Drosophila melanogaster: one gene and its partner. The protein of the gene in region 1 interacts with the protein of each later gene in a pairwise test. Each region holds a gene or a part of one and is shown on either strand. Other genes may lie near its edges.

Region 1 (13,135 bases):
AAGTGCAGCTCGAACTATGCATAATGCTTAGCGGCGAGTGCATTTTAAGAGGCTAAACAACACGCACCGTGGGACTAGAACTCCATATACCCACCTATATATATACCATACATACACATAGCATATACCATATAGTAGAGCTGCCTCCAACATAAGGGATTGATATACACAAGGGAACTAACTATCTGCAAGCTCATTAAGTATCTATACTATTTAGATTGTTCTGTGTCGAGTACGAATCTACATGTTTTAAAACCCTAACAAAATATCAATAATTCACAGATAAGTTTCCCATAAGATAGGGAAATCATTCATAGATTGCTTGTTTTATAATTGTAAACTCAAGTGGTTATATACCATATACAAACGTATGTATGTACATACTACCAATTTCACTTGAACTTGTGTCAAATCTCATTCCTCAAAACAGTTCAAATGTTCAACAATGAAGATTATCTGAATATTATAGGTGTATTCGATTGGGAAAGATTTTACGAACAGTGGGCGCTTACTAATTCGTTGACTAATTCGTCAAGTTTGTACCACTGTGCCGAAAAAGAGGGGCTGTCACGATTTGCTCTCATAATAATATGAATTTCAATTTCGGTTTGGCTGCGGCTGTTGCATTTGATTTTCAAGATATATTTAATCATTTCCAGAGTAATTAACAGCTTTTGGTTTTTCAAGCATTGGCGCAACTGGACAATGGTTAGCAACTCTCGTTTGCAATTCGCATTCGCATCGGAATTGGGTGAAAAACCAGTTTAGACCTTCGATTTTCCGAAAGTTTTGACCAAAGTTTTGACACTTGCTGCCTGAGTTCTGCATGTAAATTAGATTTTGACTGCTGTACCGGTTGTTCAGGTCTTTTCAAATAGGCAACTATGCATAATCTAATTTAAGTCATAGTTACTTATATACATATATAAAAGTACCATTCAAAACACTAACTTTCGCGTTGGCAATGCTGGGTATCTGATAGTCGGTTCGGTTGCATTTGGCGTTCCTTCTCGCTGTAACCTTGATGTATTGCTGTTGCATAACCAAAAAATGCGAATCTGGTCCAAAATTCATACGAAAACCAGTCGGTGCCACACCCCTCCACTTTTGGCTGGGAACCTAGACGAAAGTGAAAACTCGTTCGAATTTCCATTTTCCAGCAAAAGCTGGGAAAACCTGGAAAACACAGGATATCGAGAAATAAGTATTGCATGTCAAAATCAAAAACTGGACAAATCTCTGTCCCGAAAAATGTCGGAATTGCAGACACAAAAAAAAAAAAAAACGACAGACAACTGAGCAACAATTTGCTGAACATTTCGTTTGAATACCATTAGTCATGTTGTATGGAAAGCCAAATCGCCTTTTAATCAGCAGCTAAGTTAAGTTAAGTATTCTCGGGAAATTCGACAAGGTAGAGATGCTACCGAAACAGCCAAATCCAGCGGCTTATCTTTCCGGGTATTCATCCGAATCGCAATAGTATTAGCCACGTTAAGAGTTCGCTGCCCTGATTACCAAGGGTAGCTATGCCTCCGATTATTGGTAACTATTCTATTGTCGGAGGCGCAGATAATGAGATAATGAATTCTCGATTTCGAATGGGAAATGCACAGCAGGATTTGCCTGTGTATAAATGGGCCAGGGAAGGGTGATTCGCTAAACAGTCGTAAACTAGGAGCTCCAGGCGAAAGATGATCAAGCTATTGGCTATATTGCTTGCCATGGGAATGGCGATGGTCCAAGGAGCGCTGCCGACCCAACTATCAAATAATCAATGGACACAACACGATGTGTCCTCCATGGCGGATTACGAACGGCTCCTGGATCTGCGCTCCCTGGCAATGGAGTTCTATCGCGAATTTCGGAACATTTCAACGGCGGATGTGCATCTTCTGGGTGAGCGGATTGGATCACAAGATCTACAGTGCCTGGCCGATATGGCCCAGTTTATGAGTGCGCTTAGTGCGCCCAAGGCGTGGGCCCTAAAAAGTGGGTATTACAACATCTTCAACTTTGATGCCATTTGAGTTTATCCCTTCTATGCGAAGTGCTCGACGCGTGGGGCACCATTCCATCGGGATATCTCATTGGCAACCGCGTCGACATGGGCAACTACAGGGAGTGCCTGTCCGAGGGCGGAATGCTCACCTCATCGCAGGACATCCAGGGAAAGTACTGCTTCATGGAGCTGCCGGTTGCCAAGTGGTTGGGTTTCACTTCTGAGCTGCTGGCGGTGACCAACATAAGGACTGCTGTGTGCCTGCCTTCCTCTTGCTCGGCGGGCACCATGGAGCTGTTCCTCAAGCAACTGCTCAAGCGGCTGCTTGGCGTCAGTGATCCGACCAATTTGTTTTCCATCAGCGAGACGTCGTGCAGAATCAAGGAGAAAGCACCCTGGGATGGGCTCACCATATTCACAGTGTGAGTAGTGTCTTGATACATCCTAGCTGATCTATCCATACTAACTGACTACCATCAGCGTTCTACTGTCCGTATTTGGTGTCACGGTTATCCTGTGCACCCTCTACGACTACTTCTTGTGTCCGGAGCAGGGTAAGTAGCTGACATAAATCGGATAACAGCCTATATGTATGTATATGTACCATATATCCATGTCTACCCGCAGAAAAGCTACCCCGTCCCATCGGCGCCTTCTCAGCCCGTGCCACTTCGCGTTCGCTGTTCACCATTGTGGAGAACACGGCGAATCCGAATGTAATCCACTGTCTCAATGGCATGCGGTGCATGTCCCTGATCTGGGTAATCTTGAGCCATGAGTACATTATCAACATGAAGGGTCCCGCCATCAATCCAGCGGACAACCTGCGATGGGCGACGCAACTCTTCTCGAGCTTCATACTCTACGGTACCTTGTCGGTGGACACGTTCTTCTTCATCAGCGGCTTGCTGCTGGTTTCAATTGGCCTGCGAAGCATAGAAAAGTGAGTCAACTTGTACAGGGATTAATCCGATCTGTAGGCAGGCTAACATTCTCAATGGCTCCAGAAACAAGGGAAAGCTAAATGTGCCGCTGATGTATCTGCACCGATATCTGCGCCTCACTCCGATCGTAGCCGTTGCCATACTGGCATTCTACAAGATGATACCCCTCATCGCAGACGGCCCAATGTACGATGATATCGGCTTTTTCGACTACTCCGGGTGCAAGATGACCTGGTACTGGACTCTGCTCTACGTGCAGAACTACGCAACATCCGATGTGGTGAGTTGAATGTCCAAGTTGATCAGGAGAGGTGGACAAGCCCATCTAGTCCGTCCGTATCAGGATGGATCTGTATCAACCTTATATACCTTAGAAGTTACAATAATTAAAAGTGTTTAGTGGCTTTACTGCGAATAGGAGATCACTTCGATAGATGGCGCCTGCAGCACTAGAATTGATCGTTGGCGCCATCTATGTAAGTTCGGTGGTACCATTGCCATTGCAGTTGGAGCTCTTGACTATATCTGTATATTTATCTATCTAATTATTTGATTGTTGGTTGCTCCTTAGTGCGTGCCGCATACCTGGTACTTGGCGGTGGACATGCAACTGTACATCCTGTCCCCGATCCTGCTGATCGCCCTCTACAAGTGGGGCAAGAAGGCGGCCGGAGGTATCCTGGTGGTCACTTTGTTGCTCTCCGCCTGCCTGTTTGCCACCATAATGGTGAATGACTTCCCTGTGATGTTCAAGTAAGCCAGTCGCGCCCGCCGTTTTGTGTCCCCCAATGCTAATTGCAATTACTAACAGGAATGGAATTCAGGCTCAGGTGGTTCAGAGGAAGATCTACACCGCTACGCATACCCATGCGGCGCCCTGGTTGGTCGGTACTATGTTCGGTTATCTCCTGCACCTGATGCGCGGCCGAAGATTCAAGTTAAGCCTCCTGGCTACCTGGGCAGGCTGGCTGCTCTGCCTGGCCCCGCTCTTCACCTCGATCTTCGCCTTGTATCCGTACTCCAAGCTGCTGGGCAAATCGCCCTCAGTGTTGCAGGGAGCCCTCTACTATACACTGGTCCGGATCGCCTGGCCCCTCGGTCTCTGCTGGGTGGTCTTTGCGTGCATGCAGGGCTATGGTAGTCTGGCCAACAGCTTCCTCTCCTCTCCACTTTGGCAGCCGTTGTCCAAGCTCTCCTACGGCGCCTACATCTGGCACATCTTTGTCGTGGAAGTCGCCAATAGAAGCGTTCAGACCAATACGTACTTCTCCAACTATCAAGTGGTAAGTGTGTGGCAGGCAGGGTCACTCGACATTCCTATTGGACTTGAACGCTTCATTTCCAACTCCATAGATGCTCAACTTTTGGTCCACCTTTGGCTTTACCCTGCTGATGTCCTACGTGCTCTACGTTTTAATTGAGGCGCCTCTGGAGGCCTTGGAAAGAATTATGTTTCCCAATCGCAGAAGCCCGCCAGCAGCAAAGGATCAGCTGCATATCGAGTCCCGAACGGAAGTCGTGGACCAGATGGACCAGATGGATCACATGGACGGGATGGATCAGGTGGTGCAGCACGAGAAGCGCAGTGATATCCAGCCTGACCTGGAAACGAGTGCCAACAAAACAGAGACTGACCTCGAGTTATCAAATTAGACTTATCAGCTCCTATTTAGCCTTTATTAAAACGAACTACTTGTAATCTAGGCACAATTAACTTAACCACGGGTCTAGAGTTACGATGGAATGAATGGTCCTTGAGTTGAAAAGTCTTGCACTTAAGACGATATCAGTCGTTATCTGGTTGCGACTTTTGCGACCAGGTGGGTTTCGAATTAGTCATGAAGGTGATTCCCGACTTTGGCTTGCTGTAATGGGCACACAAAGATTTCAATTCTGACTCACAGAGGCGATGCACGCCCCATTCAGTTACAGAAAAAAAGAAAAGAAACACAAAAAAAAAACAGAAGGAACGACTTTGTCTAGTGTCTCGACTATCAGATATGTATGCACCAAAGCGTTTACAAGTTTTTCAGTTTGATAAGAGCCAAATCTGTTGATAATTTACATTCCATAGATTACGTATTTGTATTTGTATACTTGACTTCCCCACTTTGCTGACCATGTGTCTTGACTTTCATCTGCGTAGTGACGAAATGCTATGTTTATAGTCAGGAAATTGGAGAATTTGCTCTGATAAAACGATAAAATCAATCGATTGACAAACCAATCGAAACGTATTTATTAACATTTTAAACTTGTATTTTGGATGCTTAAAGTGGGCGGGGCCAACATGTTGTGGGCAGATCGACAGAAATGGGCAAGCCAAATAATAAAAGTAGGCGTATCTGCGTTCATATGGATGGACATGGAAGTATCGACTCGTCCAGTGATTCTGATCAAGAATATCGGAATCGCTTACCGTACAATGAATTTCGAACACAGTTTTAATACTTTACGTAACGCATGAAATCATATATTTTAAATGTAATTATACTAAAACGTTGCTCTTTTCGGGAGCAGCCTGAATAACTTCGTCGGGTATCGTGGATATCGCTTCCGCAGGCTTACCTACTGGAGATTCTTCGACTGATGCCTTCACCTCCGACATCCTGGGCTCCACCACCGCGGCCGGCTTGGCATTTGGCCTCTTTGCGGGCAGCAAAAGGCTTTCCAGACCGGCGAATGGCGCTTCGATTAGGATATGCATGAGGTACGAGAACAGAATCGTAAAGCCAAAGTCCGTCCAGAATCGAAGCATCTGGAGATAGGGGGATTCTTAGAATGGTCAACTCCGCGTACAAGGGAACATGGTACCTACCACTTGATAGTCACTAAAGTAGGTACTTGTGTGCGTGATTCCACCGTTCAAGCTCTCGATGAACATGTGAAAGATGTAGGCGGAATAGGATAGCCTGGACAGCGGCTGCCACAGGGGAGAGGATAGCAAGCTGTTGGCCAGTCCTCCGTAACCGTGCATGCAGGCGAAAACCACCCAGCAGAGACCAAGGGGCCAGGCGATCCTGGTTAGGCTTACGTAGAAGGCCTCCTCCACAATGGGCAACGTGTTCTGACCATAGATCGAAAACAGGCAGCTGGCTATCAGTGACAACGCAATCAGCCATCCCAGGAGGACAGCCAGGCGGTTCAGCTTGAAATCCTTGCCCCGGTTGGTATGAAGAAAGTAGCCGAACAGTATGCCAATCAGGTAGGGAGAAGCACGAGTCTGTGTGGCATAGTAGAGCTTCCTCATCGAATCACCGCCGCTTCCTCTGCAAATAAGAGAATTGTTCTGAATATCTTACATATAAGTATCCCTAACATCCACTTACAGCGATAAATCATTGATGACCATGATGCTAAAAAGACAGCCGGCCAGCAGGAGCATCAGAACAAAGATTCCGGCAGCCGCCTTCTTGCCCCACTTGTACAGGCAGATCAGGAGGAATGGTGCAAAGATGTACAGCTGCATGTCCACCGCCAGGTACCAGGAATGACTTAGGCACTGCGAGAAACCGTGGGTGATATAAGGTGATACAAAATGTCGTCATCGAAGGACCCTACCAGGCTATCAGTCGCATAGTTCTGCACATAGAGTAGTGTCCAGTACCAGGTGCTCTCACATGCTGAGTAGTCATCAAAGCTTATTGATCCTTTAAGTGGCCCGCTTTCCCACAGCGGCAGGATCTTCATGTAGAAGAGTATGGCAATGGCCAGGATGGGCGTGAGTCGCAGATACCGATGCAAATACATTAGGGGTATATTCAGCTTTCCCTTGGTTCTGGACGGAGTAACAACACAATGTAAGTGAGTAATTGAGTAATTCAAATGATATCCCTATCATTCAAGTCACAACTCACCTATCCATTGATCGCAGGGCAATCACCACGAGCAACAGACCGCTCAGGAAGAAAAATGAGTCCACCGCATAGACCGCATGTTTTACAAACAGACTGTAGAATGAGTTGATCCACTAAATAATGGGTAATTATATAGAACTTTTACGTTTTTCTTTTACTCGCCCAACTTACCGTCAGAAGGTAACCCATATTAATGTTGGGCGACGTGGCAAGCACCATATAGTCATGACCGTAGACCACCCAGATGAAGGAAAGGCATCGGATCCCATGAAGACAATCGATGACGTTGGGATTCGCCTTGGTGTCCACAATGCGGAATAGGGCACGCGAGTTAGCTCGTGCCGAGAAGGCTTCTACCACTGGATGGATGGTTTCTACAAGCACGGACGATTACTACGGATTCAAGGATCGCATTCGCGAAGAACTCACTCTCATCTTTGCAAAAGAAATAATCGAAAATAGTGCAGACGCCCACTATAGCACCCAAGATCGAAACGATCACTCTGAAAGTTTACGTGTTAACCAAATCTTAGACCATCGTCGCATCCATCATCTCTTTATGATTATGATCTCTACTTACATGGTGAATATGGCGAGGCCATCGTACGGTTTCTTCACTGCGGTCTGGCATGTCTCCTCGGCGACGATCTGCACATCTGCATCAATCTCCACGGTGAGCAGCTTCTGGAAGAGCCTTCGGAGCATCGTATCCATGTTAGCGGCGGAACAGGTGGCCGGAAAGCAGACAGCTGACTTGAGAGCTAATATGGGCAGCAGACTTGGAGCTGGTGTCAGTTTGGTGATGCAGTACTTGCCCTTGATACTGTGACTGCTGGTCACAGCATGGTCAATTGCAATGCACTCGTCGAAGTTGCCCAAGTTCCACCAGTTGCCCGCCAGCATTCCCGAAGGCAGCAGGCCCCAGGAGTCAATCACTGCAACGGAATCGAAACGAAACTGAGGTACAGAGAGCACCTTGGGTACGCAAGCCTCACTACTCACTCTTCAGGGCCCAGAATTTAAAGGACGATAGGTCCTTGGACAGGAGCGCTAGATCCGCTAGGCACTCGAGATCCTGCAACGAGGGTATCCTCGAGTTCGAGTTCGCCGTGAGATCCTCTAGAGTTACATTGGCGTAGTGCTCAAAGAACTCCACTGACAAGCGTCTGGTGTTGAAAATACTCGAATAATGATCCCCACCAGCAATGTGCTCAGTGAGCAGTTTCGTATTGGTCATGGCAAATATGTTGGTCATCTGTGCATTAACACTTTTGGCCAAAGCCAAAAGGCCCAATCCCAGGATAAACGCCAACCTAACCATGTTGCTCTGTCTGGTGGCGAAATGAATTTGATCGGATTGCCAACGCGCCTGGGGGCTTATATTCGCGGCACTTCATGGTCCGTCATTCTGCGATTAATCCATAACCATAACCATGGAACGCAAAGTGTTTTAAAATACGCCCCACACGTTCAGCGCTGATAATCAATTCTTATCTATAGTCTCCTTTTGGTGTTAACTTATGGTGCTGATTTATTTAAGTATAATCTACACATGCCTGTCACTAACTTGAATCAATTTTAGAAGATATAAAAGTAAAGTATTAAAGTAATTACAACCGGAATAATTGAGAAAACTTCTTGATTTCGAGACGAAATCGATCTCAATGTTGATATTTGCAGGCACATGATTCGATCTTGGCTAGATTTTGAGATCGAAGCTATCAAAGATTATCATTCCAGTTACGCATTGTAAATCCTAAGGACTGTTAATCGTTTTATTGTTTGACCATCTTGATTAACCACACAAAAAACACTTTGCATAAACTTTGCACAATTCATTGTTAAGATATAAGGATTTATGAAAAAAAATTCCTTGAAATTCTAACCTATTGTATATTCGGTTCAGGATCAGCGACTCCAAGAATAGAAACTTGCGTTGAAAAATAAACGGTTTTGAATAACCAAACACTTAGTGATAACGGCCTAATGGGTTCCAGCTGAATTATGAGGAGCACTTGTGACCACGCAATCAGATCGGGTATTAGGTGACTCGTACTTGGCACTTGAGGTGTATGTATTCAAGCCAAATGTCTGGTCCTATCAATGAGTAATTCGAAGAAGGCCGTCTGACTTGATTGGCATCGCGTTAGGAGCATCGAATTTGTTTGTAATGATCCCAAAACAAAGTTGTTATTCGCACGTTATCAGTCGATTTCAGGCGATTCCGCTTAAACGATTCTGGCTTATTATTCGGGGAAGTGATATTGTCATGCACGGCTATTTTCATAGTCATATAAACCAGCAAAAGAGATAAAACAAAGTTTCCACGTAACGAGCATTCTATCGAAGTGCAAGATTAGAAAAGAGAAAATACCATTGCTAATTTGAAAAGAAGTGGGAAATCTATGGTTTAACTGGACCACATTTCGATCTAAATTAAATTTGTTGAGTTATGGTTTCAAAATGAATTTATTAAATAGCTTAATCAATAGCTTAAATAGCTAAAATGAGAAACGTAAAACTCCATGTAAATAGCACTTATTTCAAAAATATATATAATATACAACCGCTCATATACAATGTCATGTTCACGTGTGAACACTATCAGATACCCATTGCTTAGCTAGTGGAAGGAAGATGTGAAAAGCAGTGGAAAGAATTGAATTGAATTGAAATGGCTCTCTATCGCAACCCGGTGGCGGTTAGTTCAATTTAATTTGTGGGCAAATATCTTGCAATTATAATAATAATAATTCTCAACGATCTCGATTTAAGAATTCCGAATCATGCTCAGCATACTAAAATCGAGATCGAACCATTCTTAGATTCCAACCACTCCATTCGTACTTATTTTTTCTGCTTTCCCATCAAAAATAGCAAAATTGAGCTCGTTTTTGTCTCGAAATCAAGAAGATTTCTTCTCATGAGAATTGAGTTCTCGGTTTTTGTTCTATATTATGTTTTATCCTAGATTATAAAGACCATATATTTGTTATCGTGAAACAGAGTTATTAATTATGGAGATATTATGGATTATGAATATTAAGTTATACAGAGAATTCTTATTTTTAGCAATGTAACTGGTTATATGATTGTTCAGTCACCAAATTTCTTTCTACTTTTTCCAAAGTTAGTTTTTTTTTTTTAGAAATGTACGAATTTCAATTCCGTGAAGAATCCTTTGGTTTGATTAGCACAAGTGCCCAAATCTGTTTAGATAATCACTTTTTGTCAAAGCCAGAACGGGTGCTATCTATTAGTTTTGTTTAAAATCCACTTGAATATTATATTTCGCCATAATGAGCTAAATAAGCGAATGCTTAGCCATATGCTCTTAGCTTGGTTAATTCAGTTTTTTTTTTAGTTGGCAAAGATTATAGAGATTGTAATTTAAGCGCGTCTATTCGAATTTTGGATCACAATCTAGAAGTTGGCTTGAAAGGATCTTAATCGATCGTTTCCAAGCGATAGCCCACAAAATAGTGACTTTTCAGGTGCCGCCAAAAAAAGCACTTCAAACGTGTTTTCGTCCAAACAATTTTTGCACAAAAGCGGCCCGCGTCGTCTAGACTGTTTTATTGGGTTTGGAATAATCGCCGACTAAGTCTGATCCAGTCGGTTACTATTCGAAGATAATTTTTGATTAGGTCGAACTTTGCTCGTAGTGGGGACATTCCCACAAAACCAGGTGCTGACCATGGCAATGATTGAGGTAGTTGCACAAATAACCATTTGGGACTGGTCGTGAAAAAGATTATGGAACGATAACTAGGTTCTCTCAGTGCCCATGATAACACTACTGAAGCCCTACTCTTATCGAAGTCTCGACCTCGTATAAATAAGATCGTTCGAAGTGCTGCCACAACCAAAGCGCTGATTACTACCAACCCATCAAGATGGTCAAGCATAGCACAGGGCCAATCGTTTCGCTCCTGGTCATGTCCTTGGCACTGACCAGTGCCAGTATACGTGTGGAGCATCCAAAGAACTCCACCTTGAACGTAGGCAATCCAGAGTGGCAGTCACAATCCTACCACACAATTTCCAGACTCAGACGCCTTGCAGTCGAGTTCTTTGCCCAGTACCAGAACATAACGATATCCGATCTGTATCGGGATAAGGAGATTCGACTACCCACCACCGACGATTTGAGGTGCCTGGCAGATCTGCAGACTCTTGCGAAAGATGTGTCCGATAGAAAATTGTGGGCCCTAAGAAGTAAGTTCATAGTCGATACAGAAAAATATGACTTATTGTCCGACATTACCGATTACCATCATCGTTTACAGTGATTGACTCTTGGGGCACTTTTCCTTCGGGCATCCTGTACGGCAATGTGATCGATCTGGGCAACTTCGACGAGTGCTTGGGCATAGACCACGCTGTGACCTCCACTCACAATGTCCAGGGCAAGTACTGCCTCAGCAAGCTTCAGTTGGCATCGAGTATTCCCACCTTTTTGGCACTCAAGACAGCGGTGTGCTTTCCCGCCTCCTGCTCAGCCGACCACATGGACACAATGCTCCGAAGATTGCTGCAGAACCTCCTAAGCATTGAGCTGAATCCAGATGTGCCTCTAGTGAGTGAGGGCACCTGCAAGACTGCCGATCGGGAACCTTACGATGCTCTAACCATTTTCACAATGTAAGTGTTCTTAAAAGCATTATGGTAATGTTATCGTACATCAAATCAAATCATGCAAAATTTCCATTAGAGTCGTGCTATCGATACTGTGCGTTCTCATGGTGCTGGCCACTGTCTGCGACTACTTGGTCTGCCAGGATGACCGTGAGTATTGCCAAAGCTATGTGCAAATCTCTTCCAGATGCTAATGTGATATACGTTTCGGCAGAACCGCTAAATAAGTGGATTAAAGCTTTCTCCGCGCGCGCCAACTGCCGGATTCTCTTCAGGTTGGTGGCACCCAGGAGCAATCCCAATGTGATCGACTGCCTTCATGGCATTCGGGTACTGTCCTTCATCTGGGTCGTCTATGGCCACATATACCTCGTATCTTTCTTTGGCCCCAACATGAACCTTGTCAAATTGGACACGGTAAGCTCACCCAACTTTCCAAACTCGAAAAAATCCATATCTAATGATGTACATACATTTTCGCGATGCAGTGGCGCAGATCGCCGTACAGTATGCTAGTGCAACATGCAGCATACTCTGTGGACACGTTCTTCTTTTTGAGTGGCCTCCTGATGGTGGTGATAGCTCTAAGAGCAATGGAAAGGTACGACTCTTTGGACTTAAGCAACATGCACGGTGTCATTTAGACGGGTTTTGGAAACAAAGATTATTACTTCCTATTGACCCATTTGCAGAACCAAAGGAAAGCTCAATGTGTCCCTGATGTATCTGCATCGCTATCTGCGCCTCACTCCGGTCCTGGCCTTGGCCATCATCGTCTACATGTCGATTCTGCCACGAATGGGCGATGGCCCACTGTACGGGAAGGTGAACTTCGATGACTACTCCAAATGCAAGGACACCTGGTACTGGACCCTCTTGTACGTGCAGAACTATGCCACTGATGAAATCGTAGGTTATCCCACTCAATTCTAACTGGCATTTCGTTGCTTATCACACACCGAACTTCGACTAACAGTGCCTAGGCCACTCTTGGTACCTGGCGGTGGACATGCAGCTCTACATCATTGCACCCATACTCCTGATCTGCCTGTACAAGTGGGGAAAGAAGGCGGCCGCCGGGATTCTGGTCGCCATGCTGCTCCTTGCCGCATGTCTCTTCAGCATCATGGTGATCGGGGACGTTTCTCTGTAAGTGCAGACAGATATGAATGAATATGGATATGGATATGGATATGGATATGATCGTAACTAACATACCCTTGCCTTACTGTCTTGCCTTCTTATCCTGCAGCATTGCTATCAGCGAGGGGGCAATGGAAAAGATATACTTCTCTACACACACCAGGGCATCCCCGTATCTGATTGGTATTCTGTTCGGATACTTTCTGCACGTCAACCGGGGCAAGTCCTTCAAGCTCAGCCCCATTACAGTCGTCCTGGGTTGGCTGACCAGCCTGGCGTTGCTCTTCAGCTGCTTGTTTGCCGTCTACGGTTATGCCGCGGATGCGGAAATACCACCCATTGTGGAGGAGGCCTTCTATCTGACCTTCACCCGGATCGCCTGGCCTCTCGGTCTCTGCTGGGTGGTTTTCGCCTGCATGCACGGCTACGGAGGACTGGCCAACAGCTTCCTTTCCTCTCCCCTTTGGCAGCCGCTGTCCAAGCTATCCTACTCCGCCTACATCTTCCACATGTTCATGGAGAGCCTCAACGCCGGCATTACGCGCACCAAC
Region 2 (12,517 bases), on another chromosome or scaffold:
ATATTAATGGATAGAAAACCCTCCCCTTCTATTTCCATACCATAAATGTAATTGCTTCGGTTAGGTGAGTATATATTTTTTTTCAATTTTTAGAAGAGCTGAAAAATATAGAAACGTTTATTTAGTTTTCCACTCTAATGAATATCTAACTCAAATGTTGCTAGTCTGGCAACCCGAAAAACGTGTTAATCTCAGCCAACTAACTACACTTCAATGCATGCTGATAGTCAAGCAAAAAAAAAAAAAGAAATGTAGTTAAATCACAAATGAAATGTGAATGAAATATCATTATTACTCTCGTTTATTTTAAGCATTTTTATGTACACTTATAAATATAGCTACGCAAATGCAGAAGAGGTGAGTAAAATCAATCGGTATCCTTTCGGCAAGGGCCACTCATTCAAGTGTTTTTCGAGGCGCCCAATAAAGGACTCTCGAACAAGCCTGCTCGCCCCAGCCCTGAATGGCACTCCAAAGCCCCAAGAAAAACCAACACGAACAACACTACGAGATTCAAGGTTTGCACTCGAAGTGCGTGTGAGGGAAATCGTGCGAGTGTTTGAGTGAGTGAAGTGCATGTATCGGACATTTTGATTAGCTTTGTGACTGGACGTCGTCTGCCGGAAATGGAAATACAACAATAGGGGAGTAGCTGCCGACGGGTAGGTATATTAGTGCCCCAAAATCATTGCTTGCCAAATGAATAATCTGAAATTATTACCCTAGAATATGCTGTGATTTAGGTGGTAAATTGCACGAGCTAATATGAATCAAGTTTCATAACTGGAAAATCCATCACCGAATATAAATTCAACTTAGTTACACTCAGTCAAAGTAGGCCGGAAGCGGACCGGAAACGGTTACGCCTCATCCATCGCAGCTAGGGCTGTTCGAGAGCCTACATACCAAAATCGAAATCACACTGTTCGACTTATGAAGGGTCCTCGACAGCAGGTGGATTAGGAGCGGTGTTCGAGGTCTGATACGTCAGGTGCCAGGTGCCTCCATGCTAAACTCATGGCTCCTTCGCCCAGCCAGCTAACCAACCAGCCAGCTGATTCTGACTCCGGCTCAAGTTTGGCATGAAACAACAATAAATATCGCACCACACACTGAGTCCCTCCAATCCCTAACTCCCTGCCCCACCACCACACAAACACCTACCCACCCACACACACCCACATCCACATGAATACCACACACACGACGCAAATTGCTTAGCATACTTTACGGCTTCAATTGGCAATTGGCAGCCTTTGAATTTTGTTTTTCCCCACCCACCCCATCGCCCCACACCTTTTCCTTTTCCGCTCACATGCCGCAGGCAAGGGGCTTTTGACACGAGTTGGTTGACGGCTTAAGGGGGCTGGGTGATGGGTGTTGTGGAGAATGGTGGTTGGGGGACAGCCCTAAGAACGCCGCCTGCCTGTCAGCTGACAAGTTGGCAACTTCTGTTGTTGTTGTCGGTTCTATGGAATTCCCCTTTTTTTTAGCTCGGCGCACTCAGAAAAATTTAAAGCAAAAAATTTGGCATAAAAATTGACAGGGGAACCTAGAGCAATCGATCTAACTAGTATCTAGTTAAACTTCTAACACCGTAGAAGTTTAGAACAGAAAGATAGAAATCTTTAAAATTGAAATTCAATACAGAGATACTTACAAATATATGTAGGTAAATGTCATATATTCCATAGTCCGAAAATTTAACCGTTTCTATGGCATTTTCTTGGATTTTAAGCGGAAATTGTGGTCATAAGCCCATAGTGCGACTGAATGTGCAACGCCGAGAAATATTTTGGTAGTCGAGTTTGCCCGCTGCGAGTTCCTTCGACCTTTTCAATCGACTTTCAACAGCTTATGACACCCAGCCTTATTATGACCGTCATGGCTGTCAAGATGGGAACCCGTTCCTCAGACGCTGTCTAATATCTTCATTAAGCCGGAGCGCTCGGCTTGTACCTTCCGTTCCAGCTCCACCTTTCGCCGCGCGCATTTTCTATTTGTTTTTCCCGAAACCTCACTCCGCAGTCGCACCTGAGCTCTTTTTTGACAGGCCAGACAGTTCAGGTGTAAAATAGTTTGCCACGTCAGGCGGCTGCGTTTTTGGCCGCCTATCTCTTTCTCCGTTTTCTCCGCTTATTGATTTTCCACCTTCACAAATGTCAGGACAATCAGTCTGACGTCTTGACTTTGGACCTCAAACGCCCGCAAACGGTCAGTTGTATTGGAAAACAAAGGGCATGAATCTTTTCTGTTTTTCCCGCTTTTCTAGTGTTTCGTCCCACGCGAATTTTGCGTCAAGTCATTGATTTTTGAGAAAAGATGGGAAGGAGCGTCATCGGTTCTCAAATCCTTTCTCGTTTCACAAATCATTTTGCCTAATTGCTTTGGATTTCTCAGTAATCCTCGAGACGGCCCGCCGTGACCTATCCTTGAACTTCCAAGGTCAATAGACATCTTATAGATTTATTGTATTTATATCGTAGGATTCACGTTTGATCCTATAATTGTGGTAACAAAGTGTAGGTTTCTACAGATTTCATTCTTTTCAATAAACTTAATCATATGATTTTAATGTTCAGCTCTTTAATTCAACTCATTTCCAGACAACTTCTTCTTTAATAAAAACAATCGCTTAAGATGCGCAAGATTATTCCCAATTGGCTAAGTCTGGGAGACAAAAGTTAAGTGCTCATTTTCCAATGCGCTGCTATCAACAGTTTGATAACTTTGCAGACATTAAATCGTTCACGGTTTGCAAAGCGTGAAAAGAAAAGCAAACAGCTGTAGGGAAAAACTTGTGATAAGAACTCTTGGCTCATGCTCGACATCAATCTGTTTTCCCCCTTCTGCATTAAGTCAACAATTTGATATGCATTTTGTTTTGTTGCTGCAAACACATTGCTCTCTGTCTTAGTGGGTTTTGGAATTTTCAAAGTTGCCTTAAGCCCCCGTGCTGCAACTTTCTGACAGCCGGTGATTGAATGTTTGGCAACGACATCGGGGATTAACTCGGCAGTTATCCTTATCAGCAGTCCGATGCCACCGGGGCCATTCAGACGCTCGTTGGCCAGACATGGCCCTAATTGAAGTGGCAACTTGCTTTAAACTAATTCCCGGCGATACACGCTTCAGCCATATGTTTATTCAGAAAGTGTGCCTGTGCAGATAAAAGGTATAAGATGAATTTGTTATTGAATAATGTCAAAATCGCATAGCCTTGCTAATTTCTTGTACATAATCCCTAAACGCAAAATTAAGCACATGTGTGTAATTTATTTGCTTAATTTTAATGCATTTTTGGTGTCACATTTCTTGGGTCTTTTATTAAGATTGACTACGCATAATAATTAGAGAGTTTAAACATTACGTTTTTGTTGCACAAAAAATGTTGTAAAAGCTAACAACATTTAACTGCATTTGATACAACAAAATTAAACCAATGTAGGTTTTCTATTTTAAGGGCTTTGCCTTGAGCTCTTGTGTATTTTTGAGATACATTTTACTTTATATAAAACGTAGATATTGATTTTTCTGATTAATAAATAGACAACTGGTTTCCAAGCAAATAAAGAAATTTAAGAATCGAGGCAATATTTAAGGATGTAAATGCGCAAAAGCCTTTAGGGTTTTACTCTCTGTTTGAATAAAATGTCATAAACAGCAGCCCACTTAATTAAATATTGGTTACTTGCATCTTTTGATATTTATTTTTTCCTCTTAGTTGCGACAATTTTAAAGTCTTTGTTGTTATCTTTTTTACATTTTTTTTATGATATCATTTTTTTTTACACCTCTCATACTCGAGTTATGAATATTGTAAAGGTAGAAAAATAAACTCCATTACTATATTGGTTAATGAAAGTTGAATACATTTCGCGGTGCCATGTTGCTTTACTTTGTTAAAACTTTTTTAAAAAAAAGTTGCATTCGCTTCCGTTCAGGATAATTAATTTTTTCGATAGCCCATTTTGATTTTTTCCATAATAACTCTTTTGCTGGCCGAAAACTTTTGTAGTTGTTTACATGACCCCCATCCCCCCCGCGGAGTTCAGCTGTTAGGATCCACAGCTCCTTATTTACCTTATGTAAATGTAAATGCTTATCAACAGGCAGCCGCGCTCCGTCTTATACGACGAAACAACGAGAGTCGAAGAGAGCGGAGCACGCTCTTAAATTGCAGAACTCTCTGATACAGTTCAAGTTAATACAAAGTAACGTTGAGTTTGTTTTGTTTGTGTGGGCGGGCTGGGCGGTGAAAGGTGAAGCAGGTCCAGAAATGTAATCAATAATTTTAAATATTTAATGCGCTAGCGAGAGAGTTTTTCCAGAAAAGTTGTGAAAAGAGGTATTTTCTTTTCAAAAACTATCTTAGCAAATGTGTCCAGTTTTGTATTCAATTTTGCATCAGAAACTATGTACCTTTATTTGTATTTACAAGCCAGAATTATGGACTCACCTGTGCCAGCAACAACTCACCTCCCCCTCACACAACCTACTCATACTTTTCTCATCAAACAAATGGGATCCACATGCGAGCGAGTTTGCGCCAATGATGAAAGAGAGTGGCGCTCTTTTAACCTACTCTTTCAAGTACTCTTTGCGACAGCAGGAAACGTCGCGCAAGGAAATCGCAAATGTTTCCTCTTTCGTGTGCATGTGTGTGGTGTCCTCCGTGCTGGTTCGTCTGTGTGCGTGTGGATGACATTGTGGCACTCGTTGAGGCAGCTCCAATTGACGGGCCAGTAGTCGTTGCGAAACTTTTGCTGGAGCAACGCGTCGGACAACTGGCGGTGTTGCACCTATCGTTATCGGCCATCGGCAATCGATTGTCGGCAATCGGCTATCGACAACAAACTATCGTTATCGGTTATCGTGTGTGTCGACCTTGGTGGTGATTAGTGTTAACGGTAACTTAACCATGTGCAACATCATCAAGCGAATATTGGATCATCCGCAGGACTCCAAAGGCCTCCGAATGTCCAGGTGAGCCCGTATGCTTTTCCACCCAGTTTTGCCACCCTGGCGACCCGCTTGCCACCACGAAAATTAACCTCGTTTGGCTTAAATGTAGTTAACTAAAGTTAAACGACCTCTAATGTCGATTTAATTATGTGAAAATAAAAGTTATGATTTCGTTTTTCGGCTTTTAGCTCATCTTAATGGGGTGATTAACGGTAATTCGCATGGTCGGGACGAATCCAATAAAAAGTTTAAGAAGTAATTGAAACTAATTAAAACTATGCTCACCGAAATATGCACCTAATATTTGCTAACAGCTTTATGATGCCATTAAAGACCGGCCAAAATTTGAGGGGGAAAAGTTGGCGGCGGCCAATCAAATTTGAGTGCTCCAACTTAAAATTAAATTATTTTGCTCTACTTTAACTTACATAACTCAAACCACTAATTGCTAACAAAACAATTTCAAATGGAGCTCATAAACTAAATCTTTAGTATTTCGCAGTGCCTGCAAATTCGACTTAACTTCTTACATGCCAAAATGCCATAATTATTGTGATTGTTAAAACGAACTAATGGATTGATTATAGCTATTCACAGCTCAATAGTTGAGGTTTAATGGGGACCTTGAAGTTATGATAATGAAATGTCTGATTAAGTGATAGATACAAAGCGCATAGTTCGGGCAACAAAAGGTAGCAAACCGTTTTAGCGCCTGAAAAACCCGCAGGCATTAAGATACCAGCTCAGATAGGCGTAGAGGTGATCGTGGGAACGAACTTTGACCCCTGCCAGTGCATTCGTTTTTAATTAAATGGAAGAGTGGACAGTGGAGGCCAAAAGTGACTTTTGAAATGGTCAGGCAGATAAAAGTGCAATAACTATAAAGCGAGGGTGGCGCAAACGCTATCGGCAGTCGGATCCTGGAGGTCGTGGACTGGGCGAACCCAAACACGCACAAATTTGTTAAGCGGGTCACGTAGTCCGGGAAATCCCATGCCATCCTAGCCAGCCCCTCTGGGTGTTGTCATCAACACGAAAATAAAAATAGAAAATTAAACTTGAAACGCGCAAAATGGCTACAAATGCTCTTGCTCTGCGCTGTGAAAATCGATTTCAATAAACTTTAATTCGTTTTCGTTTTCCCCACTGAAGTCATCGGATGTGGAAACCTTGAAAATGACGCAACAAATTAAATGCCAATAATTTAAAACAATTGCGACTCGAAATGCCAAGTAAAAGCAACCTTAAAAAGCGACCAGAGCGAGATAGCGTTTTGTTTATGGCTTTTAAATCTAATTAAATTCCCATAAAGACCGCGAGCGATATCAAAAAACAGCGCTGCACGTAGAGTAAATAAATAAATAAAAAAAAATGATTTTAAACTTCAAACGGGTTCAACGACTACCAAGCCCCGCAAATAATTGAAAAAGACAACTAGGGGGCGGAAAATGCAAAACGGCGATGGGCAACAAAGGGTTAATGTGGTGCAGTAAAGTGCGTGTGACAGTCCACGAGGGCAAACTAAAAAGGGGTTGATGTAAATTGCACTAATGACCTGCATTTTGAGTTTGAACAGCGATTCATAATTTAGCCAAATGATTCGTCGAACAGAAGGTGGGAACTCAACCACCGACTTGTTTCGCATTGAAACACGCAAAATGCAAAAGCAAAGCCCTGCCTTAAACCTGTTCAATTTTATTCACCGGACCACTCATTGTTTGGAATATTATTCACCACTTGAGAGTGGAATCGCCGTCTACAGACCTCAAGTTAACAACTTTTGTCCAAGTTTGAGAAGCAATTTTAACCCATATATCCCGGTGATTAGTGGCTTCCAATCCGTGTGAACTTCAGGATCCTGAAAACCTGATATGTTATCAGAGCTACAGTTTCAGGATTAAACAGATGCTTATTATATCTATCACTTTTTATATGTAGGGTACAGCTTGCGTTTAAGAACGAGTATCTTATAGTCGAGTTCGAGCCGGGTAGAAATTATATTTAAATGCCATCCACAAGTGGACTACTTGCCTAAAAATACCTGTCTTGAATTACCCGTTATACACTCTATATAAAAACATATTAAGTCTAAAGCTGCGCAATCTACACTTGAGATCAGTATCTACCGGCAAGTAAAATAGCTACATATAATGTTCCGTAGATATTAACCCAATGATAAGATCCGTATTACGAGACATATGGGGTCTCATATAAACCGTATAATGACTCGTCGTAATCAGGTGGCGTCAATCGGACCGCTAAATGGTTTGAGATCATTATTCACACGCTCAGAACAACAAAACTGGTGTCATTCAACCTCGGGGCCGCTTGTTTAGCGAACATCATTTTGAAAAAAAGCTTTGATAAGAACTGTGCGTCGGGTCAGTGGGTGGTTGGGCGGTGGGAGGTGGGCGGTGCGTTGGGAGGAGGGCCCCATATTCGTGAAAAGCTCAGAACGGAGACGATGGCGCAAGCTCACTGCATGTTTGATGGCCTGGCATGTATATAACAAGTAAATTGCGCTAAATTTCTCTCAGTCTCAGTCCGCGAGCGAGGCAAATGCGAAGATGTCAGCGATCACCATACGCGCCATGACAATCGGGGATTACGAGGAGGTCGAGGCCTTTCTCGCAGTGCACTTCTTCAAGCAGGAGCCGCTAATGCTGATCCCCCAGGAGGATCCCAAGCAGAGCGAGGTGTCTTCCGCGGAGGCTGAGCTACACCGCTCGCTCATACCCCAGGATCTCTCCCTGGTGGCCGTCGACGGGGAGCGCATTGTGGGCGTGGTTCTGGCCGGTGAATTGGTACCCGAGGATCTGGAGAGGGAGTACCAGGAGGCTGAGCAGAAGGAGATCACGTGCCTGCTGGACAAGATACACAAGTTTCTGGCCGGGATCGAGCGGCAGGCCAATATCTTCAAGCACTACGGAGTGGAGCGGGCGCTTTACCTGTACATGCTCGGTGTGGACGTGTCCATTCGACGCCAGAGAGTGGGCACCCGCCTGGTGGAGGCCACCATTGAGCTGGGTCGCCAGCGTGGATTTCCCGTCGTCACATCTACCTGCAGCAACCAGAACTCCAAACGCCTTATGACCGCCCTAAACATGGAGTGCATACTCACAAAGGATTACGCGGACTACAAGGACGAGCACGGGGAGATCGTCCTGCGGGCATCCGAGCCACACACCTCCGCCAGTGTCGTGGCCATACGACTGTAAGAGTAGGAAAATTACCAAAGAATGTAGAAACATAGCTCATGGCAACATGATAGATAGGCAATATAAGGAGGGGGAGTCGTAAGAAACTAAACCGATTTTGATAGATAAGAAAGCTTTGTTTATGTAGACATTGTAATCAACTTTGTATTGTTTTCAGTTCAAGTATATAGGAATTCAAACTATTATCATAAGTGTTTGTCGTTGATTTCTTGGGTCTTGCAAAATAAATGAGTAAGCGTGCAATTAACCGGGTATTTCCCAGCACTGTCCCATCCAAGATCGTAACTCTTCCACATAAATCACTTTGGAAAATCTGTCCGATTTGTCTGTGCGATTTTAAGTGTGGGATAAGAAATCCGGCGATTTGCTTTTGCCCAACATTAGCAGTTAAAGTCGTAAACGAGAACAGCCACTTCTTTCCCGTCGAGTGGCACATCCCACGAACTTTGCCCTCCCATTAGCTCGGCCTTGCTGCGGGGACCCACTTCATCGTATTCCATCTCGGTCGTCCATTAAAGGGACGCAGCACTGTTGTCGGCACTGCGGTTGCCCTGCTCTCATTTTTCCGCTTTCGCACTAAAACTAATTGTTGTTTTATTGTGTTTGTAATCCAATCCACTGGCGAAACGCTAGCCACATGCGATGCAGGCGCAAACCATACATATATATGAGATACACATGGGCGACGGATTACTCCCCTTCGTCGTCTTATCTGTGATTATATATATAAAACATATGATTATGTAACATGTGCGTTGTTTTGGTTTCGATTGGCCGCGAAGGCTGAGCAGAATTATGGATCTCACACTTGGCTACCTTGAGCAGAAAGCTTTCTTTTCACGCTAACCGAGAAGCTTTTCTGATTCTCTGGTCGCAAGAACCTAGAAGTTGTGACAATTTTCCCAGATACTTTTTTTATGCTGCCGAGTTCATTTGATGAAGGCATGTCAGAATAGCTCGAGGTAGTTAGTAACTTGAAGGATTAGCATTCGGTACATAGAATTTGTCGAAAACATAAAAATTCATTTTTGAGTAAGCTGGTGAGGCTGGAAGTGCAACAGAATATTTTGGAATGTAAATGGCGACGAGGGACTGGGACTCGATTGGAATGGGTCCTTTGGGTGGCCAGACAAAGTCCTGTCTGGTTGAAAATTCAGCAAACAGACCAAAAACCAACGTAATTTACATGTCTGCAGGATAAGTTCGACAAGAATCGAGCAGGAGGGGCAAATCTGAGGAAAGTCAGAGGGATTTTTACTACCGCTTTGGCCTGAACAGTCTGTTTGCCATGTTTCGCCAGTCTGGTAACAGTTGTTGCTGACCCCTGACCCTCAAATAGAAAAATTCGATTGGAGATAAAAGCGTATAGTCTCAAATTGCTTAATCAACACCAAAGGTTATGATGTAAAGCAATCGATTAGATGACTGTAGCAGCCCTTTAGCCAGATTCTCGGAGGCTCAAGTTTTAATTAAAAATGCTTGAAAAAATGTTGCTAACAAAGTCGCCAGCATAATGCAGCAAAATTGCCTAAAAAGAAAGCCGCTGGCATGGAAAAACATTTTAACAACCACATCCCGCAGCGGAGGGCAGTGAAGCCAGCCCCATGTTGGCCCGGCATATTTGCAAACCGCCACAGTTTTAGGTGCACTGAAATTTCTCCAAATATTTGCGCAAGTGAATTTTTGATTTATGCCAGCAAAGCGTGACCTAAAAATTTTTTCATACTCAGCCAAACTAATTAAAAGTGAAAAGTTGACATTTTCTAGTTGAATTTTTGATTTATGGCGTGAACTTCCCAACCGCAGCGAAAAATTTAATGAAAATTCAATCAAAGTTTGCGGCACTCTCCGTGAGTTCGGATTATTTTGCGGCACGGAAAACTTGCAACATATGGCTGCCCAGTCTCCCAACTTCCCACTTGCCCACTTGCCCAGCTGCCCTGTATGACCCGACCTCCGTCCGTTTTGTTATTGTTTAAGTGACCCTAATGAAGATTAATTTAGAACAAGTGCTACACTCACTGCGTGAGCGTTTGTGCAGCCGATCGTCTATTTAAATGTTGGAAAAAAAACACAAAAATTAAATCTCATTCATATGACACACCAAATTGTATGCATCGACCCAAAATACTATACAAAATTTTTAATTTTCTAGGGATAGAACAAGATTTTTTACCATCAAAAGATTTTCAATTTGTTGCCTATCTCATTACTTAAATCAGGGTCTCTTGATTTTATCTAGAGAAAATTAATTGATTAAGCAATTTCCATAGTCAACTCCGTGGGGAGCATATATATATTATTTTTTTTAATCGAGAGGACTATCCCAATTCATGCTTTCTTAATTAATGAAAAATATACTCAGCAAACGGTTATGCCCATGCATAATTAAAATATTCTGAAATATTTCAGTAAGCGGCAGATACCGATTTCGATTTCGATTCCGAATAGATTTAACTGCCTACACAATGTGTAACAAGTTTAACGAATTCAAACTAAGTAGTTTCAATTCGGGTCGTTTATCTGATTTTCCTGAAGTGGTCAGTCTGCTTCCCCACATAATTTTTACCCAACCTGTGAATATTTTTTTTTAGAAATTCAGTCTGCATGGGGGGTCTAACATTTTCATCAAAAAGTTAACTGAATTGCATGAATATTCAAGTTTTATTTATAAAATTCAATGCAATCATGTTGAGTTGTATTTTTTTAAATAAGATGATGAAGAAATAAATAGTTCATATGAGATATGAATGATACATGGAAATCTTAAAAACGGGGTACACAAAAATTAAGCACCTACATAAATTTTGGACTAAAAACACACAACTATCAGGAACGAAGCATGTCAAACTGCTTGTAAGCTTTAAAACCGATTCAAAAATTAAAGAAAAAACACGAGAGAGACGAAAGGGAAACCGCAGTAAAAAAATATTAATAAACCGAACTGATTTATGTGTCTGCTGCAGTGCGGTTCAGACGCGACCACTTTGAAAAACTTGGCTCAACCTATCGCCAATCGGATTCATGGTCTAACCACTATCTGTAGCGGTTTTCGTTATCCTGGCCTGGTCCCTTCATCTACACCCATATGTGGGTCCTAGGTCCTGGCCACGATTATCGCTGCTACGATCGGCGCCTGCGCAACAGGTATGGTCAGCAGAAAGTGGCCAAAACGGCTGGTTCTGCAACTTTGTGCCATTGGAGTATCGATCTTGGGCAGCGGGCGTGTGCATGACAAATGCCTTCTGATTTATTGACGTACTGAGTACCTCTGCCTGTGTGTCGGCCTTGGTCACGTTCTTTGTTGTCGTCGGTCGACTTCAAAGGGCCGCACCGCCACCTGCTGGTTAATAATAGAGGTACCATATTGCGGGCTTGCTTGTGGAGGGGGTTATGGATGCACAGCGCTGGAAAAACGAGAATAAACGATATAAATAGCCAAGGAAACTGAAATGACTATCGCTTTCTTTACTGATTTCAAAGTTAAATAGCTTAGGATAATTCGTTGCAGACATATGTATTGCAATTTATGTTGCTATATTGTGCAGTTACCAATTTTAAGTATTCTTTTCACCCCAAATATTGTGTCTTTATTGGTGCGCTAACACATTTTTGTATCTCTATCTTAAGCTGTTACACTTAACACTCAATCAAGAGTTTATCGATCACACAAATCATATTGGAATGTTCTTAGTGAAATTGCCACACAGAAATCACAGAATGAGGAACACGAAAGCAAGCAACAAAATTTTAGAAACAATAAATTATTATGAAGTATAGAAAACTGGGATGAAAAATTAAGTTGGCGTGAATGCAAGTCATTTGTTATATTTAGTAGATGACATTAGAGATTCCAGTGAGTGGTTTTCGCGTTTTTTATGACTGTTTAGTGGCTAGTCGCTGAACTCAAGCCATTCGCGTGTTTCGTCACTACGTAGACCGCCAAACCGCACTACTTTCTTACATACTTTATACTGAAGAAATAAATAAATAAAAAACAAACTGGTGCGGAATTAGTATTTCTTTAAAATACATTTTTATAACTTCAGTCTGCAATATATTCGAAAACAGTACGAATCTGGATAAAGAACGTTAATTTTAATATTTTCAAAAATTTTTGTTCCATTTTAAGTAGTTTTCCAAATGTGCTCAAATTAGCTGGGGCAAAATTCGCGGCGCTTCGAAATGCTAATCATTGTGCAAATTAACATCCCGCCTACGGGAGCACTAAGTTCTGAGTTCGCCTCACCATAATATATGAAAACTTTCTAACCTCAGACAGACACACCCGCATGAGCAGAAATGGAGGCACAAACGCAGACACCCGATTACCG

What was found.
Region 2: the proteins of CG14219 (region 1) and Ddr interact in a two-hybrid assay, tested with the Drosophila melanogaster proteins (one large-scale study listed by BioGRID).

The regions. Positions count from the first base shown.
Region 1 is NC_004354.4:19,581,948-19,595,082, forward strand, and holds CG14219 (uncharacterized protein), read right to left. Parts: upstream 8,224-13,135; 5' UTR 8,125-8,223; coding exon 7,806-8,124; intron 7,739-7,805; coding exon 7,384-7,738; intron 7,307-7,383; coding exon 7,233-7,306; intron 7,178-7,232; coding exon 6,975-7,177; intron 6,917-6,974; coding exon 6,804-6,916; intron 6,725-6,803; coding exon 6,508-6,724; intron 6,449-6,507; coding exon 6,276-6,448; intron 6,216-6,275; coding exon 5,765-6,215; intron 5,705-5,764; coding exon 5,435-5,704; 3' UTR 5,401-5,434; downstream 1-5,400. Other genes in the region: CG14204 (uncharacterized protein), read left to right, coding at 1,695-1,992, 2,052-2,424, 2,483-2,556, 2,630-2,945, 3,010-3,226, 3,518-3,699, 3,758-4,229, 4,300-4,599; CG14205 (uncharacterized protein), read left to right, coding at 10,700-11,021, 11,093-11,447, 11,518-11,591, 11,656-11,858, 11,930-12,042, 12,134-12,350, 12,418-12,590, 12,694-13,135.
Region 2 is NT_033779.5:6,248,344-6,260,860, forward strand, and holds the start of Ddr (discoidin domain receptor), read left to right. Parts: upstream 1-4,779; 5' UTR 4,780-4,986; intron 4,987-7,515; exon of another isoform or gene 7,516-7,532; coding exon of another isoform or gene 7,533-8,183; exon of another isoform or gene 8,184-8,479; intron 8,480-12,517. Other genes in the region: AANATL2 (arylalkylamine N-acetyltransferase-like 2), read left to right, coding at 7,533-8,183.